Linked DNA regions of Mytilus edulis. The main gene of each other region encodes a partner of the protein of the gene in region 2 in a complex. Links are inferred from orthologs where the notes say so. Each region holds a gene or a part of one and is shown on either strand. Other genes may lie near its edges. The genes, in order: H/ACA ribonucleoprotein complex subunit 2-like protein and H/ACA ribonucleoprotein complex subunit DKC1-like.

Region 1 (8,278 bases), on a different chromosome or scaffold from region 2:
AAAACATGTATAACATGACTATATTTGTACATTATTATCTACAATTTTATTTAAATATGATTTAAAAATATATCAATATATTGAATTAGATTACAATAAAGTGCTAAAATTTATTTTCCTTTATTCTTTTTTTAAATGAGTGTAAAGGTAATGAATTATTAAATAAATTATTGAAAACCAGCTTTTTCAAGGGAAATAATTCAAACTGACAATAGTATTTAATACAAAATCACTAGCAAACATATTGGTTATCTATTCAAAAGTATTCAAAATCAATTCAATTTTACGATGAGTAGACGTTTAATAAAGAAGTAGTTTAAATATTTCTTTTATATAAAAGAGTATTACAGGCTGAGTGGTTTTGATGTCTTTTCTTAGCCTTGATAATTTTTCAACAAAATTGCATCAAGTAATTCTTTTATTTGCAAATATTGTCTAAGTTTTCATCAGCTTATTTATTTTATTCATTTATAAGATAACTGCCATAACAAAATTTACTTTGCTAGAAAGCATTATAGAATTAGAAATATTTTTATTCTCACATAAATCACATAAAAGTTGAGAAAACAATTCAAAATTTTGTGATATCCATGAAAAAATGTATATTCATGTATATATATACACCTTTCTAATGAAAACCAGAATTTAAGGAATGATTGATTTATTTGTGGTCTTTAACACCACTTTCCACACAATTAGCTATATTGTGGCAGTCAGTTTTAACTGCTGGAGGAAGCTGGAGTAACAGGAGGGAGTAACAGGAGAGAACCTTTTCATTTTTAAAAATTGCTTTCACTTACCAGTATCATTTCAATTTTTAAAAGAAACTGAGAGAATAAGCACTTACAGAATATTCTGTATGGAAGTTGTACATGTACAAGCAAATAAAAATGCTTACCCTCCAGTAGAATCTAAATTCCTTCCAAAAGTCAGATAGTGGTTGTTTTCTGGAAAAAGTTTTTTGTGTTTTGTGTTTTTGACATAGTTTCTGTGTTATTATATTTCCAACGGTTGACTAGTTTCGGTTGTCATCATTTTGTCTAACCTTCGTCTTGAAAGGAAAAAACTTTAATATTTCATTTCAAGTCTTACATTTGGTAAATGTTTTAGATAGTGTAGAGAATTTTCATGTACTGATAAATTTCTTTTTTGAGAGACATGTACCAATACATCATGGTATGATGCATAACCTGTAGCATTAAAAATTTCAAACAACAACATAAATGTAGTCATACCTCTTTTGATGGTGTGTAACAGTATGGTAGTCCCTCCTCTTCACAAACCAAAGGCATGTGACAAATAACATCAACTGGGCTTACATCACCAGCTAATATAACAATCCTAGTAAAAAAGAAAATCTCATTAGTCATGTTAATATGTGTTGTCCATTGTGTTAAAGGGAATGTATGAGTTAATAACAAATTCTTATTAGTCATTTAAAAAGTATTTGTCTTCATTCTTAGGCCTACTTTTTAAAAGTATTAATGTCCTGTTGCCCCACTGCCTAAATTTGAGTGCTAACTCTCAAGTTTCTTTACTTTTTACAGATAACCTTTGTTCTGGTAATATCCTTACAAATAGATTTCTACAACATTAACCTGAATTCAGTAATATATATGTTAGGCACAATTGCCTTGTTTTAACAAAAATATGAATAAAATTGTTTATTACAATAAAAACAATGAAGTAAACAGCCATAAATATAATGAATGATGAGTATAAGTGGTCTATGAGTGATGAGCAGATGGTATAAAATTCATAATAAAGTATTTGCATGAGTGATGCTCTCAGTCATGATTTTGTAAGCAGTGGCCTAAAATTTCCTACTTGTACTTTTTGTGATGTCAGATAAACAGGAGTGATTTTAACATTTCCTGGTTGACAAGTCCAACAAAAACTTCCTACATGTACTTTTTGTGAAGTCAGATGTACAAAAATGTACTCACCCCTTTTCTCCTTTTCTAATAAATTTTTGCACTTCTCTCACACCTTTTCTTAATTGTTTCTGTTTTGAAGCTGAAAACATAAAAGTACATGAAAGAAATAGTCATATCAAACTGATTTGTAACAGCAACATAACTAAAGCTAGTAACTTACTGAAAATTTTCACTATTTCAAATTCCATAAACTTTCTTCTTCTTCTTCTGTAGGTATACAATATTTCATTGATTTCGATGATTACATACTGTTCGCATACGTGGACTATTTACATAGATATAGGAAGATGTGGTCAACATGTTTACCCTAATTTAAACGAAATATAATTAAAGTGCAATGAAATGTTAAATTTGTGATTAAAACTATGTACAATTTAAATTGATACTTTTAATTAATAGAACAGAAAACAGCTGAAGTGAGCTGTTCTTTGAAGCTATTAATGGATGGTGCCTGAACTAGTACCACAAGGAGCTGGTTCCACTGTGGTATTGTGTAAGGAAAGTATGAATGTCTGTAGGAGTCTTTCGATGTAAGAATATGCCTATATGAGAGTGTACATTTTTTTTTGTTCTTGAGTCTGCTTTTATGAGTATGACTGATGGAATAGCAACAAGATGATATTATATTTTGTACATCATTACCAATCTTATGCGGTCTGCGTTCTGCTAATGATGGTAAGTTAAGTGTCGTAAGCATGTTTGTAACACTACTTGTATTATGGTATTTATTGCAGTCATACCGTGCAGCTCGTCGTTGGACCATCTCAATTTTGGATACAGACTTGGTTGTGTGAGGGTCCCAAACAGAACAGGAATTTTCAAGTTTGAGTCTGACGAGTGCTTGGTATGCCTGGGATTTTATGTGTGGATATGTTGTTTTTAAATTTTGTTTTAGAAAACCCAGTGATTTTAGATTTTTTTGATGTGTTGAAGTTTTATTCCAGCATGGGAAACTTCCCACCATGTAATACAGGGCAATTATAAGAGGGTGGTAAAGGGTTATTTTTGTGCAACGTGTTTTGCCATTTTTATTTCACGTGCAGCCATGAAAAAGGTTCATTATTCACTGTGTTTTGTGAAATTTGTTAAAAAGATCAACGAGCAGGAAATTTTTAATTGTTCGCTTGTCATGAAATGGCAATTTTATTTTGCGTTCTTCCGTGCAGATACCCTCCCTTTCCACAGGCACTTGTTTCTATCCATACGAAGGTCGACTATCCATATAAATAGATATGGATAGTCGACCTTCGTATGGATAGAAACAAGTGCCTGTGTCCCTTTCCGCCCCTCTTATAACTTCTGCATAATAATAGAGTGTGAGGTCATATTAACATTGTTATCATCTACAGGCCTGTAGCCAGGAATTTCCAAGGGGGGGTTCATTGGACTTGTGAACTCGACTTTAAGTCACAATTTGAACAAAACGTTGGCTTTAAAAGTGCTTATTTGATTTCAAGGGGGGGGGGGGGGTTTCGGGCTACGGGTATGATCTACTGCCAGTTGATAGTCTTTTCCAACGGGACAGTTTAGTCTGTACTCAAAGGGTAGACAATTTGTGAGGTCTAACACAGCCACTTTTGTCCATTTATAATTTATGATGAACCAGTAGTCGGCATTACAAAATATTTTATTAAAGAAAGCTCTATTATGAACATAAGTCATTCATTAAGCACAGAAACAACAGAGAATAACATTTAAACAATCTCATTCTTAGCTACATGTACATGTACCTTTCTTAACAGCTTTGTAAATTCTTTTTGTCAATTTTCTTGGGGCTAACGGCTGGGAAATAGAACTCTGGTACTTGATTTTCTCTTGCCATATTTCTTTACTGTCACCTCCGTCCCCTGCTTCATCCTCTACCTCAGATCTTCGTTTTTCTTTGCTTGATTTTCCCATTTCACAGCGTGCTTTTTAGAGTTTGTTTTGTATTTTTGGTCCCTCCACGTGCTAAAGTGATAAAAATAGCTTTTAACATTGATGAAAATACTGCAATCTAAAATCACACGGGCGATCCAGACTTTGAACTGGTTTCTTTACACCACACAAAATTGTATACAAGGTACCAGATAATATAGGCTGTGATGGAAAAACTACTTTCGGTTATCATTATTTCTTCTTTTTGTGTATTTTCGAGTAGAGGTAATTATTGAATATACACACAAAATACATTTCTTCCATCTTGAAGGGAAGATTTTTCAGAAAAACAACTATCCATGTTGGTAATTTCCATAACACATATAAAAGGTGCCAACTATTGAACTATAACAGGTTGGGAACAAACCCCCTGTATGGGGATTATACCTCTATAGAGGAATAATCCTTCTATAGAGGGGTAAAATTATCCCTCTATAGAGGGTTATTTTTGTTTGCACTGGATTTAAAGCAAATTAGGGCAGAATGGCATTTTCTAGTTATATTGGCTCTAATCTCTAGCATTATATGCATCAACATATGCACTTTACTAAAAATTGGGATAACCAGTTTTCTGCTAAAGTGACAAAACATGCAATCTATTGTAAACCTATTTGAACACCTGATCAACAACAAAGGGAATAGTTGACCTTTAAATTTCATTTTAAATCTAACAATAGAAATTCTGTTCAGTGAGGCATAAGTGAGTAGAATTTACCTGATCATCACAGCTTTCAATCATGGTGAACAATAGATTTTATATTTAGTCAGATAAGCATCAAACTGGGCATGTGCATATTTAATTAAGTACATCAATTGGTGCATCAACTGTTCCAGGTTACTGCCATAATAAGTAGAGAATGCCATTCTGCCCTATTTTGATTTAAATTCAGTCTAAACAAAAATACCCCTCTATAGAGGGATAATTTTACCCCTCTATAGAAGGATTATCCCTCTATAGAGGTATAATCACCATACAGGGGGTTTGTTCCCAACCTGTATAAAAAAAGCAACTTTCAAAATCTCCAAATGCAATGGGAAGGATATCCCTTTTTCTTCTTCAATCGTAGTACGAATCTAGGTCCTTTCGCGCTGATTCACATTCGCACCCACTCATGTTCGCCCCCTTTCACTTTCGCACCCTACATGTTCGCGCCCAATTTTAATTGGTTTTGTGTTTAATAACTATATCTTTGTAATCAAGTTTTGGCAAGTGTGTTCTTATATTTGTTGTCATTGATTCAAAATAAAGTGAGACAGCATTTTTTTTTGTGTTGAATAAATCTTAGTCATGTTTTGGATAGTGTATTGTTAAAAAAAAAAATAATCCTTTCTAAATAAAGTGGGATTCTGTCAACGTTTTATTTTGTGTTGAATAACTCTTAATCATGTTTTGGTTAGTGTATTGCTATACATGTAACTTTGTTTCATTGACTTGTTTCAAAATAAAGTGTGATTCTGACTACGTTTTTTTGTGTGTGTTGAATAAATTTTATCATGTTTTGGTTATAATAGTGTATCGCTTTATTTTATTGTTTCAGATTAAAGGGACCAAGCTGTTAAAAACAATTATCTTTTGTGTTTTCATTTAAAATCTTGAATGTTTTATTTACACCAAAGCAATTTATAACAACAATCATGATTTTCCAATTATTCAACTGGAATTTGAATAAAAATCGGGCGCAAACATGTAGAGTGTGAACGGACCTTGGGTGCGAAAGTGCGAGGTGATAACGTGTAGGGTGCGAAAGTGTATTGGGCGTGAACGAACCTGATACTTCCTGGTACGGGAAAGACTTCGGTGCCAGAGTGGAATATCCCGGTACTATGGCGCTATCATGTACATGCAAATGGAAAAGTAATTGTTGTTTGACGTCAATAGTTCAAATGGGACAGATTCTCCATTCAGCCAGAAATAACGATGAGGTGTATGGTTCTGAAGTTATACCCTGTTTTAAATGGAAAAATTACAAAAATTTTAGTTTTCGTTCTTTAACTTAAGTTCGCTCAACCAAATATTATTAAACTTATACACAATGCTTATTACCACAAAATACAGATCAAGTTTGAATTATGGTGGGGTCACTTTAACCATTCTCGAGTTATGCACCTTTATAAATGGGAAAAAATGCAAAATGTTTAGTTTCTGTTCTTAAACTTTAGTTGCCTCAACCAAATGTTATGAAACTTATACCCAATGCTTATTACATCTGATCTATTTCTTAAAGCATCAACACAATCTGCAAGTTCATTCTAATGTAAAGTTTACCGGCGGGTGATCCGGGTGATCCCTCAGAATTGTGAAAATCTCGGGTCACACCCGCAGAATCCGGGTCAGTTGACAGGTATGATGTAAACACTCTGGAAAAACTAATTTTGGAGATGCTGAAATATTTGCTCTGCATGTTCTTGAAAACCCTGGTCAATTATTCTTCGTTTTATAAAACCAAAAAGGGGTTTAATAATTTGATAAGATAAAATCAATTTTAGTCACAAGTTGAAATTATAGAAAAAGCATTTTACCTTGTGTCATTATTGACTTTTATGTCAACTTAGACTTTAAAATAAAATATAGAAATATCTAAATGATCTGTTTAACAAAAAGTCAACTGGTCACCCATTCACAGGCCCTTGAGTATTGTTGAGGCATTGCACCCTCTTTTTATTTTCTTTTAGGTGTTAAAATTTGATTTTTGTACATTAAAATTTCGGATTTTTTTTCCTAATTTTTTCAAATCAAACTCACATTGGGAATGGACTTTATATCTTCTTTTTCAGCTGATATATCAAGTAATTTGGACTATTTTGAGACCCTGAAGACAGTTGATATAAATAAGCGTGTAAGACGAAGTGTGGATCCACACCCAAGTTCTCACCTGCATGAAATTTGGTTCTCATCTTTAGGGAGGTATGGTTTTGTTTTGTACATATGTTGTAAAGTCTGTGGATTTGTCATTAATTTTTTAGTGTATGATTAACCTGAACCACAAATTTATGAGTTGAAATTTACAATATACTATTTTTTAGATTCATCAAAGCCTTTGAATTAAGTATCTATAAAAGTACATTTTCCCCACTCAATCCACAAGAACTGTTGTCCATTTATATTGATATAAAATGTATGGCAATTTATTTCTCATTTACTAAACAAATATTTATGTCGACAATAAAAACAACAACACTCAAAAAAAATATTTGTAATAATGTTAGAAATTATACAGACAAAAGTGGTATCTGACAAATAAGATAAAAAATATTGAATTTCAGTGAGCAGTAAAAAGAAATAATATATCCTATCTGTAATCATGGTAATATATAACGCAAACATTAGGTGAAAAATTCAAGTTTGGTACACTTACATGTACCACTTATAAAAAGGAATAAGGTGATATGCTATTACTATCATGACTATGATTGCCAATGAGACAATTATTTAATAAATTCCAAATGACATTGATGTGAACAACTTAAGGTCACCTTATAACCTTCAACATAGACCCATACTGTATGGTCACCAATAAAAGCCCTGCCATGACAAAATTAGAAACAATGTATTTTAGAGTTACAGTGAGGTTCTTCATGATAGGCTTCATACATTATTCAGAAGTTTTAAATTTTTAAATCATATATATCACTATAAACTGATAACGTAATACCTAATCACTCTGCAACTTAAAAAAAATCATAACAAGGAAATATATCAAAATAATTATTTAGAACATTTGATTTTTGTGACTCGTGTGTACAAATGGTGAACAAAAATTTTTTTTTTGCTTCAGAAATTTTCATTTGTATGTGAAGCAAACTAAAGTTGTGTCTGATGATTTCAAAGCTGTGGTAAGCAGTAATGGAGTGGAGAGACCACTTGATATTGACACTGGAAACTTTTATACTGGTACCTTGAAGGGTGAGTTGAAGATGCTAGTACCCAATATGCCCACTGTAAACAGTTTAATTTTGGACTTTTAACTTGTACGTTTTAAAGAAAACATGCATGCATTACCTATCATTAGGCTATTAATGAGGTATTCTTAATGATTCTCGTTCTTTGAGTAAATGTTTGCACGAGAGAAGATTATTTTAATGATTCCTTGATTTTCTAAAATATGTCAACTAAAAAACTGAAAATATTGCTTGAAGAAAAACATTTAACAATAAAATATAGTAGACTGCAGTTTAAAACTGTTACCTGTGTATAACTTGAGAGTCATAGTGAAAGATTCAGTTTGAATCTACTCTATTTAAGATATCCTTTGTATGATAATAAAATTGAGAGTAGAAATAGTGAAAGTGTCGAAAAACAACTCAACCAAAGAGCCAATGGCTGTTAAGAATTTTGCTTGTACCTGTAATCTTCTTATCCATTCATTTATTTCCGAAAAGGATTAACTTTGTTATCAAATTTTTATGAATAACAAATACAAAAA
Region 2 (8,736 bases):
TTTGGTTTTTGAGTTATAAGCCAAAAACTGCATTTTACCCCCATGTTCTATTTTTAGCCGTGGCGGACATCTTGGTTGGTTGGCAGGGTCACGCTACACATTTTTAAAACTAGATACCCCAATGATGATTGTGGCCAAGTTTGGTTAAATTTGGCCCAGTAGTTTCAGAGGAGAAGATTTTTGTAAAAGTTTACGGACGACGGACGCCAAGTGATGAGAAAAGCTCACTTGACCTTTCAGGTCAGGTGAGCTAAAAATATGTGTGTGTTGGACAACTCTTACGATTCTTGTTCTTTCCAAAGGGTTTTGCAAGTTAAATTAGTGGATATTGAAAAAATTGTTCAAACCATAGTTGCTGTGAAGTTAATTGGGCTAAAACTAACGCTAATGAAATTCTAAGTTAGACCAAGGCCAGGAGACAACTGGTGTACATTGAAGTATAAAAATTCAATCCAAATTTGAATATCACTTACTGCTATACTTTCTTGTTTCTTCTTTTTCTTAGCTGAAAACAAAAAAGAATAACAAAATTAAGGGATTAAAACAAAGTTCAGATAACCTTGGATTAGGTTCCTTCTAACATGTGGTGTCTGTGTAATCAACATGTAAAAAGTATTGTGCAAGCAAAATATATTTTTTACTTTTCAAAAGTGAAGGATTTAGCTATTTAATTTCAAAAAGTAAGTCATGGTAATTTTGGCTGGAATTGTATCTTCAAGAAGCAAACAAACATTTTTTGATATACATGTGTATCCTGTAGTTCAGTACCGTAGGTACTCGCTTATAAGTCGGAAGTTTGGGAGTAAAATTCAGAATCCAGAGAGGGGTACCGACTTATAAGCGAGATCCAGCGACCAGAGAAAAAATCCAAGCTCGAGAAAAGTGGTCAGGAGTGAATTTCCTGGTCAAAACTACGTCATTGATTGCCAAACCTACATAAATCCCTAAATTAAAAGTTTTTGTTGAAAATAAATGACTACAATACTATCTTTGTGTTTTATTTGTTCTCTGTTAACCGTTTTCTGTCAATTTGTGTTGAATTTTCGACTGTTTCCGGTTTGTGTATTGATTTTTATGGTCAAATGGTTTGTGCATAAACCCAAAAGAAAGCCAAGAACCAAAAATGAAAACGAGATAACAATGTACCAACTATGTAAAAGGATGTATTCAGCGGAGTTATTGTGTCATTATTGTGATATCATGATATCAATTTAATACTTATAAATCATACAATAATAAAAAATAATTTTAAGATTCATTCCCAAGATCAAAATATTATTCATTAAAATGTCACAGGTAAACACAAAGATTACAAAATTGATTGGCAAGCCAATATAATCCATTGATAACCCCTAATTAAGAGACAAAGAGTTGTATTCACTAAAGGTGTGAAAAATATCAGTGATAGGTGAACAGATGACACTAATGAGTTGGGATTTATTTTAATATAAAGTTGATTAGCTTCACTTAATTTTTTTTAATCCTTTAATCATCACAATATAATAAGAATTATGAAGTGTACATGCTCCTTTAACACTGAGTTATGTGTGCTGTGAAAAATATTGATTTACTTTAAATTTTTTCAGGTTCATATTGGTTTATGCTCGCTTTTCTCAAACAATAGGTTGTTAGTCATACCCTACAAAATCATTGATGCATTACGTAAACAACACATGGCTAATCTGTAATCAAACAGTGAACAAAACAACAGGAATAAATAAATCTTTATTATTAACAGCTATATAAATTATCATAATCAACATCAACTAAATCCAAACCAAACAAACATTCATGCAGAAAATGAATATAATTCCTGGATTTGCATTGGTTTTACCGGCGTTCAGTAACTGTCAACTGCAAAAAAAATGTCCAAATTTTGTCCGACTTATACGAGGGTCAAGACTAAATCCTCAGAATTTGGAGCTGAAAAGGGCATCCGACTTATAGTCGGATCGACTAATAGGCGAGTATCTACGGTAACTAAACTTCTTTACTTCCAGAAATATTTTGTTTGCTAGAATATTTCAACTTTGAAGAAAACATTCCCTTACGTTCAGTCTTAATGAAATTTAAAACACTATGGAAAGCCAGAAGAACAAAAATCAATTGTCTTAATTCTTTCATCGATTTAAATAATTTATTGTGTAAATGTAATATTATGCTTTATATTTGTCTATTGTCTATTTATATTGTGTGTATGCAATAAGCTGTACTTGCTTACAGAAATTAAGTATTATCATGACAAACTCAGACCAAGTATATATGTATTTTCACATTAGACATTAATTTATTATACCAATCATGGGCTCTTGTCACTTGTACATTATGACAAAAAATGACAAACATGCCAGTGATTTTGCTAGTGCTCGTTATTTATGAAAATATTTTTGGAGTATTCTTATAAGTTGTAGCTGAAGAACCGTAGCTCATAGGTCCTCATGTTATTTTTGACTTTTTGTGGACCGTAGAGCTAAAAAAAATTTCTATTTCAAAATGTTCGGAATTGCGACCCAGGTTCAGGTCGCACTTATTTCCCTCAAAAAATTGTTTATAATCCATGCAAAGCTCGTCAATGAATATAGTTCGTTTCATAGACATTTTTCTAGGACATGACGTACCTATTTATGTTTGAATATTCATTTCTTAACACTATCTAATTTATCCTATTTGTATACATTCTCGCCTATTATATTCATTGACAAGCTTTGCATGGATTATAAACAATATTTTTTGGGGAAATAAGTGCGACCTGGACCTGGGTCGCAATTCCTAACATTTTGAAATAGGAAAAATCGGTAGCTCTATGGTCTGCAAAAAGTCAAATAATAACATAAGGACCTATGAGCTTCAGTTCCGCAGCTATATTAGTTGGTGCAATTGGATTCTGTCCAACTTGTCGGCATAAGACAAGTCAATTATTATTGGACTAGGCAAAATTTCCTTTCGATGTCAAGCTAAATATTTAAAGGCTTCGCCTTAATGATAAAGTAGGAAGACAACATCAAAACAATAGAATAAAATAGCATTACAATTACACAAGAGCTGATACATACAATACAATACAATATTATTATGATAAATAAACTGGCAAAACAATCACTGAATCAGCTGTGTAAAACACAATTTTCAAGCATAAGACATATCAATAGAAAAATGACAATAGCCAGTATTTGATTATCAAAGTAATGACATCAATGTACTTTAACAAATAAATGCAATTAAGCGATTTAAAAAAAAAAAAAATTTGGCACACCACGTGTTCAGGTGTTAGGCATGTAGTTGTGTCCCACTGTTGTTTGTGTTTAAAATGTATTCTGCCAAATATGCAACAGTGCAACGTTAGTATTATGTTTCAATAAGCAAAAACATGATTGACAAATGCTGACAAGGGCATCATCATATTCCTGTGAGATGTAATTAGAAAAAATACAAATTCAAAATACCGCTTGTGTCGGCCATGGTCTGTTTTCAACACGTGTTTGTAATTGTATTTAACGAAAAGTCAAGAGAACAGAGAAGATTATGTAAAGTCAAGAGAACTCCGATGACACAATCTAAGTTAGTTAAGCGTTTCAGTTTATATCCTTTTACATCTCGTTTCATCGATTGTTCAATACATTGATTTACTGAATTGGCGAAAAATTGGAAAATGCCTCAATCAACAAAAAATTCGCAATAGTGCTGGAGGTTTTGGTAGATTTTACTGTACATCTCTCGAGTCTTGAGATTTCAGATTCCTCTTTGGATGCTAAAAGTATAAGGGAGGGGTAAAATATCATCAGTAGCAAGGGGCACTTTTCCCTGTAAGTGTAAGCAAATGTAAACAAACGACATCAAAATAATTTCATGTTTCATATATATTTCCGATGTCACAACGCTTAAACTTAGAGTATTTTTCACAGAAATAGTTCGACGACAGCATTTACATAAATTTACATAAAATAAGGCATCTTACTCAGTGGTAGTGGAAACATATCTGATGTTGGTCCCATTGCCTATGACATACTTGGCATACACCTTATTGCTAATCCCGGCTGACCCGACCGCTTGAACTTTTGACGCATACAACAATAACTTTTCCATTGTGGCGTCAGATATTTTGTTTTATGACGTCAAAATTTTACGGGAACCTGTGGGATATCCAGCAATGGCGGACAAATAGTGATAAGGTGTATTGTAAACAATGAAATGTTCTTCCTGGTTATTCCTTTTGGTAATGAATTATACGAATCCATAGAAAATCGCCCCATGTTTTCACCAACTTGCCCCACTTTCTAAAAAATAGCACTACTCTTGTTTACCAAATCGCCCTTAATATGAAAAAGGGTAAAATCCCATTTAAAATAAGTTGGATTACTTGCCCCACTAATGAAAAGGGTTTAAATCCTGCTGAAATAAGGTCTGCCAACTCGCCCCTCTCATGACAAATAGGTAAACCATAACGAATTTAGTAATGCCAACTTGCCCCACTTATGAAAAAATATGCAATCTCATTGTACATGTATATCTACAATGTATGTTCCTGTCCCACTTATCAATAAAATCAATATCTTTGAAAACCATAGATAAACATGTTTTAGTAGTTTTTTGGTTTTGTTTAAATAAAGCAGAAAGACGTGATTATCAGCATTTCTGTGATGTAAATGCCAACTCGCTCCACTTATGAAAAAGAAAGTAATGCCATTGAATTTTGTCTGCCAACTCACCCCACTTATAGATGAGGGGCCTGATGGGGGGGTCTCATCACGATTCACGAGTTGATTTTTTTGTCAATCACGAGTCACAGAAAATAAATTTCCATGATCACGGATCACGAAAATATAAAAAGAGTATCACCAATCAATCTCGATAATAGAGATTCAGAAGCTGGTTGTTTGGTGCAATTAAGCTACAATCAAATGCATTACTGGCTCATTACTTGTTTACATGTTGAATTCTCCCAGGTTCTAAATTAAATCGTTAAAAACAGTCACATTCTGACTTCTTTTATTGTATAATAATAATATTTCATAGAAATGTTTTACTGGCGTAAATACCACGGAACCACATCTGTGTTTTATCTTGAGGCTAAACTAAGAGATTATAAAGTATATATATTTATTTTGTCAATAAAATTTACTGCTGAGCCTGATTGTTCTCCCACTCCTGCTGGTTGTCCCTTGAAGAAAACTAAGACATTCTGGGGTGTCAATAACATTGTCCGTTTCTTCAGTGTAGTCCACATCTGATTCTGAATCACGAAAACGAAAAATATGTCTCAATCACGAAGAACGAACATAAAATTCCAATGAAAACGATTCACGAACAATGGTTTCATCACGAATCACGAAAAATAAATCTGTAGAAAAACGGATCACGATAGCGAAAATGCGCCGATCACGAAGAACGGAAATAACCCATCAGCCCCCTCATAGATAAAATATGTACAAAAAACTAAGCTACATTTTAAGTTATTCTCCAATAATACGAAAATAACATGTCATAATAAATAATTTATTTACATTTGTACAATTATATATATTTCAATTAAATGAAACATCATTTGATTTCAATATTAATAATTTAATCATTTTTTTTTTATTATTTTTTTTTCATTTAAGTTATCAGACCTGAAAATTATAAATTCATCTAGATTTCACCTGTTTTCATTATAATAGTAATAATAATAAATTCTTTATTTAAAGAGGGTCACTCAATTAGAACTAGTCTTATTTTTCTTATTTTAGGCCCTCAAACAAAATACATGCCAGTGGCGGATCTAGAACTTTTCCTAAGGGGAGGCCCGCTGACTGACCTAGGGGGGCCCGCTCCAGTCATGCTTCAATGATTCCCTATATAATCAACCAAATTTTTCCCACCAAAGGGGGGGCCCAGGCCCCCCTGGATCCGCCTATGCATGCATACAGTTAACATTCATACATTCATACATTAAAATACAATATATATTACTAGTATATACACATTTCAATTATTCAAATAAAATGGTAATAAATGGCAATATTTGATAAAGTTTTGTTAAAGGAAAACAAATTATTTGATTTGCATATAATTTTCAAGAAAATGATTATAACAATGTTTCTTGAATAATTCCACATTACAACATTTTTAAAGCAATTGCTTTTATGCCGTCGCGTATGGCCATCTTTGTGACCCAGATCAGAGACTCCGCCCAGATCAATTTATAGTATTTTGTTAAACAGGCTCCTTGTCAGTCATTCTTTAACACCTATGTATGTTTTCTAATGCAATACATAGCTTGAAACTTAAAAAAAAAGTTAGTGGATTTAAGAAGTTTCAGAATATGTTCTTGTAGATGTATTTTTGTATTTAAAGGGTCAACCGTTTGACTATCAAAGAACATAGAAGTCCGAGTGAAAAAAAGTACATTTTTATATTAAAATGCGATTCCGTTTTCCGCCGTTCGTACGATGTTTCAACAAAATATGGATTCATTTCAGTTGTTGATTTAGTATTGAAAATTTAACTGAATTATCTCCTAATAAATACGTTTTTTTTATGTTTAATTTGTGTTTCTTTAAGAGGTCAGGTGCTCTTGTTCATTCATAAAATTATCGTTCATTCATACATTTATCGTAAAATCAAAATCACTACACAGGTTAATGCGTAGTGTCAAATTATTACCTGTAATCTAAAAATAGACAAACTTTATTTGCGCAAATAATTTAGCGGAACGAAACCCTTGTTGAAAACACATAACAATAAGTTTGTTTTCCTTTTCTGTCGAAACTCCGTAATATTTAACGATCACCTTACTAATGAAATGGACCCGTCCAAACGTAGTAGATGCCAAGTCGGTCCAGATGAAGAGATATTTACAATTTGGAATATTCTAGTTTATTAATACATAAATTGAAAAAAAGTATGTCTTTTTAAATATCATGATCAAAACTGGGTTTGCATAACAAATGTCAGATGAAACCATTATCCTCGTCTTTTCAGTGAACAAGTCTACTACGTTTGTTGACACTCGACGTTCCACCGTGTTAGCAATTTTATCGCTATTTTGTGCATTTTTCCTCTGATCTTTTTTGTGATAATTTTCATATCATGCTACTCGCTTGAGATGGAAAATTATCGCAAGAAACTAAGCAGGCACGTGGCGTTGCTAACGAAATGACATGAAATTGACAACGTCGTCATAGGTAAAATAGCGATAAACAGATTATCATTGGTTATCTCAACTTGATTGCCTTTCTCGCTTTCGCCGTGCCGGCTCAAGCGAGAAAATCAATCTCGTTGAGATGATCAACGATAATCTATAATTATGTTTCCTGAAAATTGATAAATATCAAAGCAACGTAGAGCTGTTTGTTCTTGTTCGTATAATAAAATTGAGAATGGAAATGTGGAATTTGTCAAAGAGACAACAACCCGACCATAGAAAAACATACAACAGCAGAATTAAGGTCACCAACAGGTCTTCAATGCAGCGAAAAATTCCCGCATCCGGAGGCGTCCTTCAGCTGGCCCCTATACAATATATATACTAGTTCAGTGATAACGATTTAATGTCATGTTTGTCTGTGATGACCCCCCTTTTCGGGATTGCATGAGAATTGTAGTTATCTCGTACCCACATGCACTTGTTTCTATCCATAGGAAGGTCGACTATCCATATAAAACTATTTATATGGATAATCGACCTTAAGCTTCCTATGGATAGAAACAAGTGCCTGTGCTCGTACCGCATCAGAAGGACACATATCAACTGAGCAATAATGTTTGGAACTTAGTTTTAAAAATGATGACAAAGTAACATTATGAAAATATTTTTATTAAGCTGAAATATACATTTATTCTTTACATGTTTATGTCTTGTAAGATATTTTATTTCTTTCCCGTTTTTTAACATTTGCGTCTGGAAAGTTGAAATGTTTTAACTTAATCATTTGTGTTAATGGTTAAATATAAATTAATAATGACAATTATTAAAATTAAATCAATAAAGGAAATTATTGTCAAGGAAGTTACAAACACTACCAGGGGATAATCCATGATGATTTCTTTTTGAGTTATATGTTTCAGCACATGTATATTTGACCCCAACTTTAGCCTGGTAAACGTGTTGTCTCCTTGTGAAATATAAAACATATTAAAAATGACTTTCTGCTAAAGTCTTTTATTTATATAAAGTTAAAACCTTCTTACTTTTAACTAGACAACACTCATGTCAGGTTTAATTCTTGTATATATGTGGATGAAAAATAAAAGTCCCCAAACATTAACATGGCAGCAATTGCTTTTACAGCCTTTAAGGCTTTGATTTTATTTGGAGTGGTAAATTATTCCATACTTTGGTTGCAGAATAATTTATAAAAAATTGTATTTGGTCTTGGAACAAAAAGATCATTATTAGAGACAGATTTTAAGTTGTGGTGTTGCACATCATCAATATTTAGCATTGCTAAGTAATCAGGTGTTAGTCTATTTACAATTTTATACATTAAAATTGATTTTTGGTATTTTATTCTTTTGGTAAAAGATAGCCATTTTAAAGATGAAAACATGAAATTAGATGAAATAGAAATATCGCATTCCAGTATAATTCTTGCTACTCTTTTTTGAAGTTTTATGATTCAATCTGAATCTTTTTGTAATAAATTTCCCCAAACTGAACTACAATAGTCTATATATGGTAGAATATATGCATTATAAAATATTTGCCTTGTGTGTATTGGCAAATATACTTTAATTTTATATAAAAGGGATATTTTA

Evidence for each region.
Region 1: H/ACA ribonucleoprotein complex subunit DKC1-like (region 2) and H/ACA ribonucleoprotein complex subunit 2-like protein share a complex: the UniProt entries of both Drosophila melanogaster proteins name them as parts of the box H/ACA small nucleolar ribonucleoprotein (H/ACA snoRNP) complex. The link is inferred for Mytilus edulis from reciprocal best matches to the Drosophila melanogaster genes Nop60B and NHP2.

Annotation. Positions count from the first base shown.
Region 1 is NC_092347.1:73,995,364-74,003,641, reverse strand, and holds the start of H/ACA ribonucleoprotein complex subunit 2-like protein, read right to left. Parts: upstream 3,914-8,278; 5' UTR 3,837-3,913; coding exon 3,668-3,836; intron 2,017-3,667; coding exon 1,947-2,016; intron 1,342-1,946; coding exon 1,236-1,341; intron 1-1,235. Other genes in the region: ADAM 17-like protease, read left to right, coding at 4,022-4,079, 6,630-6,759, 7,631-7,758. UniProt on the Drosophila melanogaster protein: Component of the box H/ACA small nucleolar ribonucleoprotein (H/ACA snoRNP) complex, which catalyzes pseudouridylation of rRNA. This involves the isomerization of uridine such that the ribose is subsequently attached to C5, instead of the normal N1.
Region 2 is NC_092346.1:91,534,660-91,543,395, forward strand, and holds the start of H/ACA ribonucleoprotein complex subunit DKC1-like, read right to left. Parts: upstream 3,559-8,736; 5' UTR 3,460-3,558; coding exon 3,444-3,459; intron 506-3,443; coding exon 474-505; intron 1-473. UniProt on the Drosophila melanogaster protein: Catalytic subunit of the box H/ACA small nucleolar ribonucleoprotein (H/ACA snoRNP) complex, which catalyzes pseudouridylation of rRNA. This involves the isomerization of uridine such that the ribose is subsequently attached to C5, instead of the normal N1.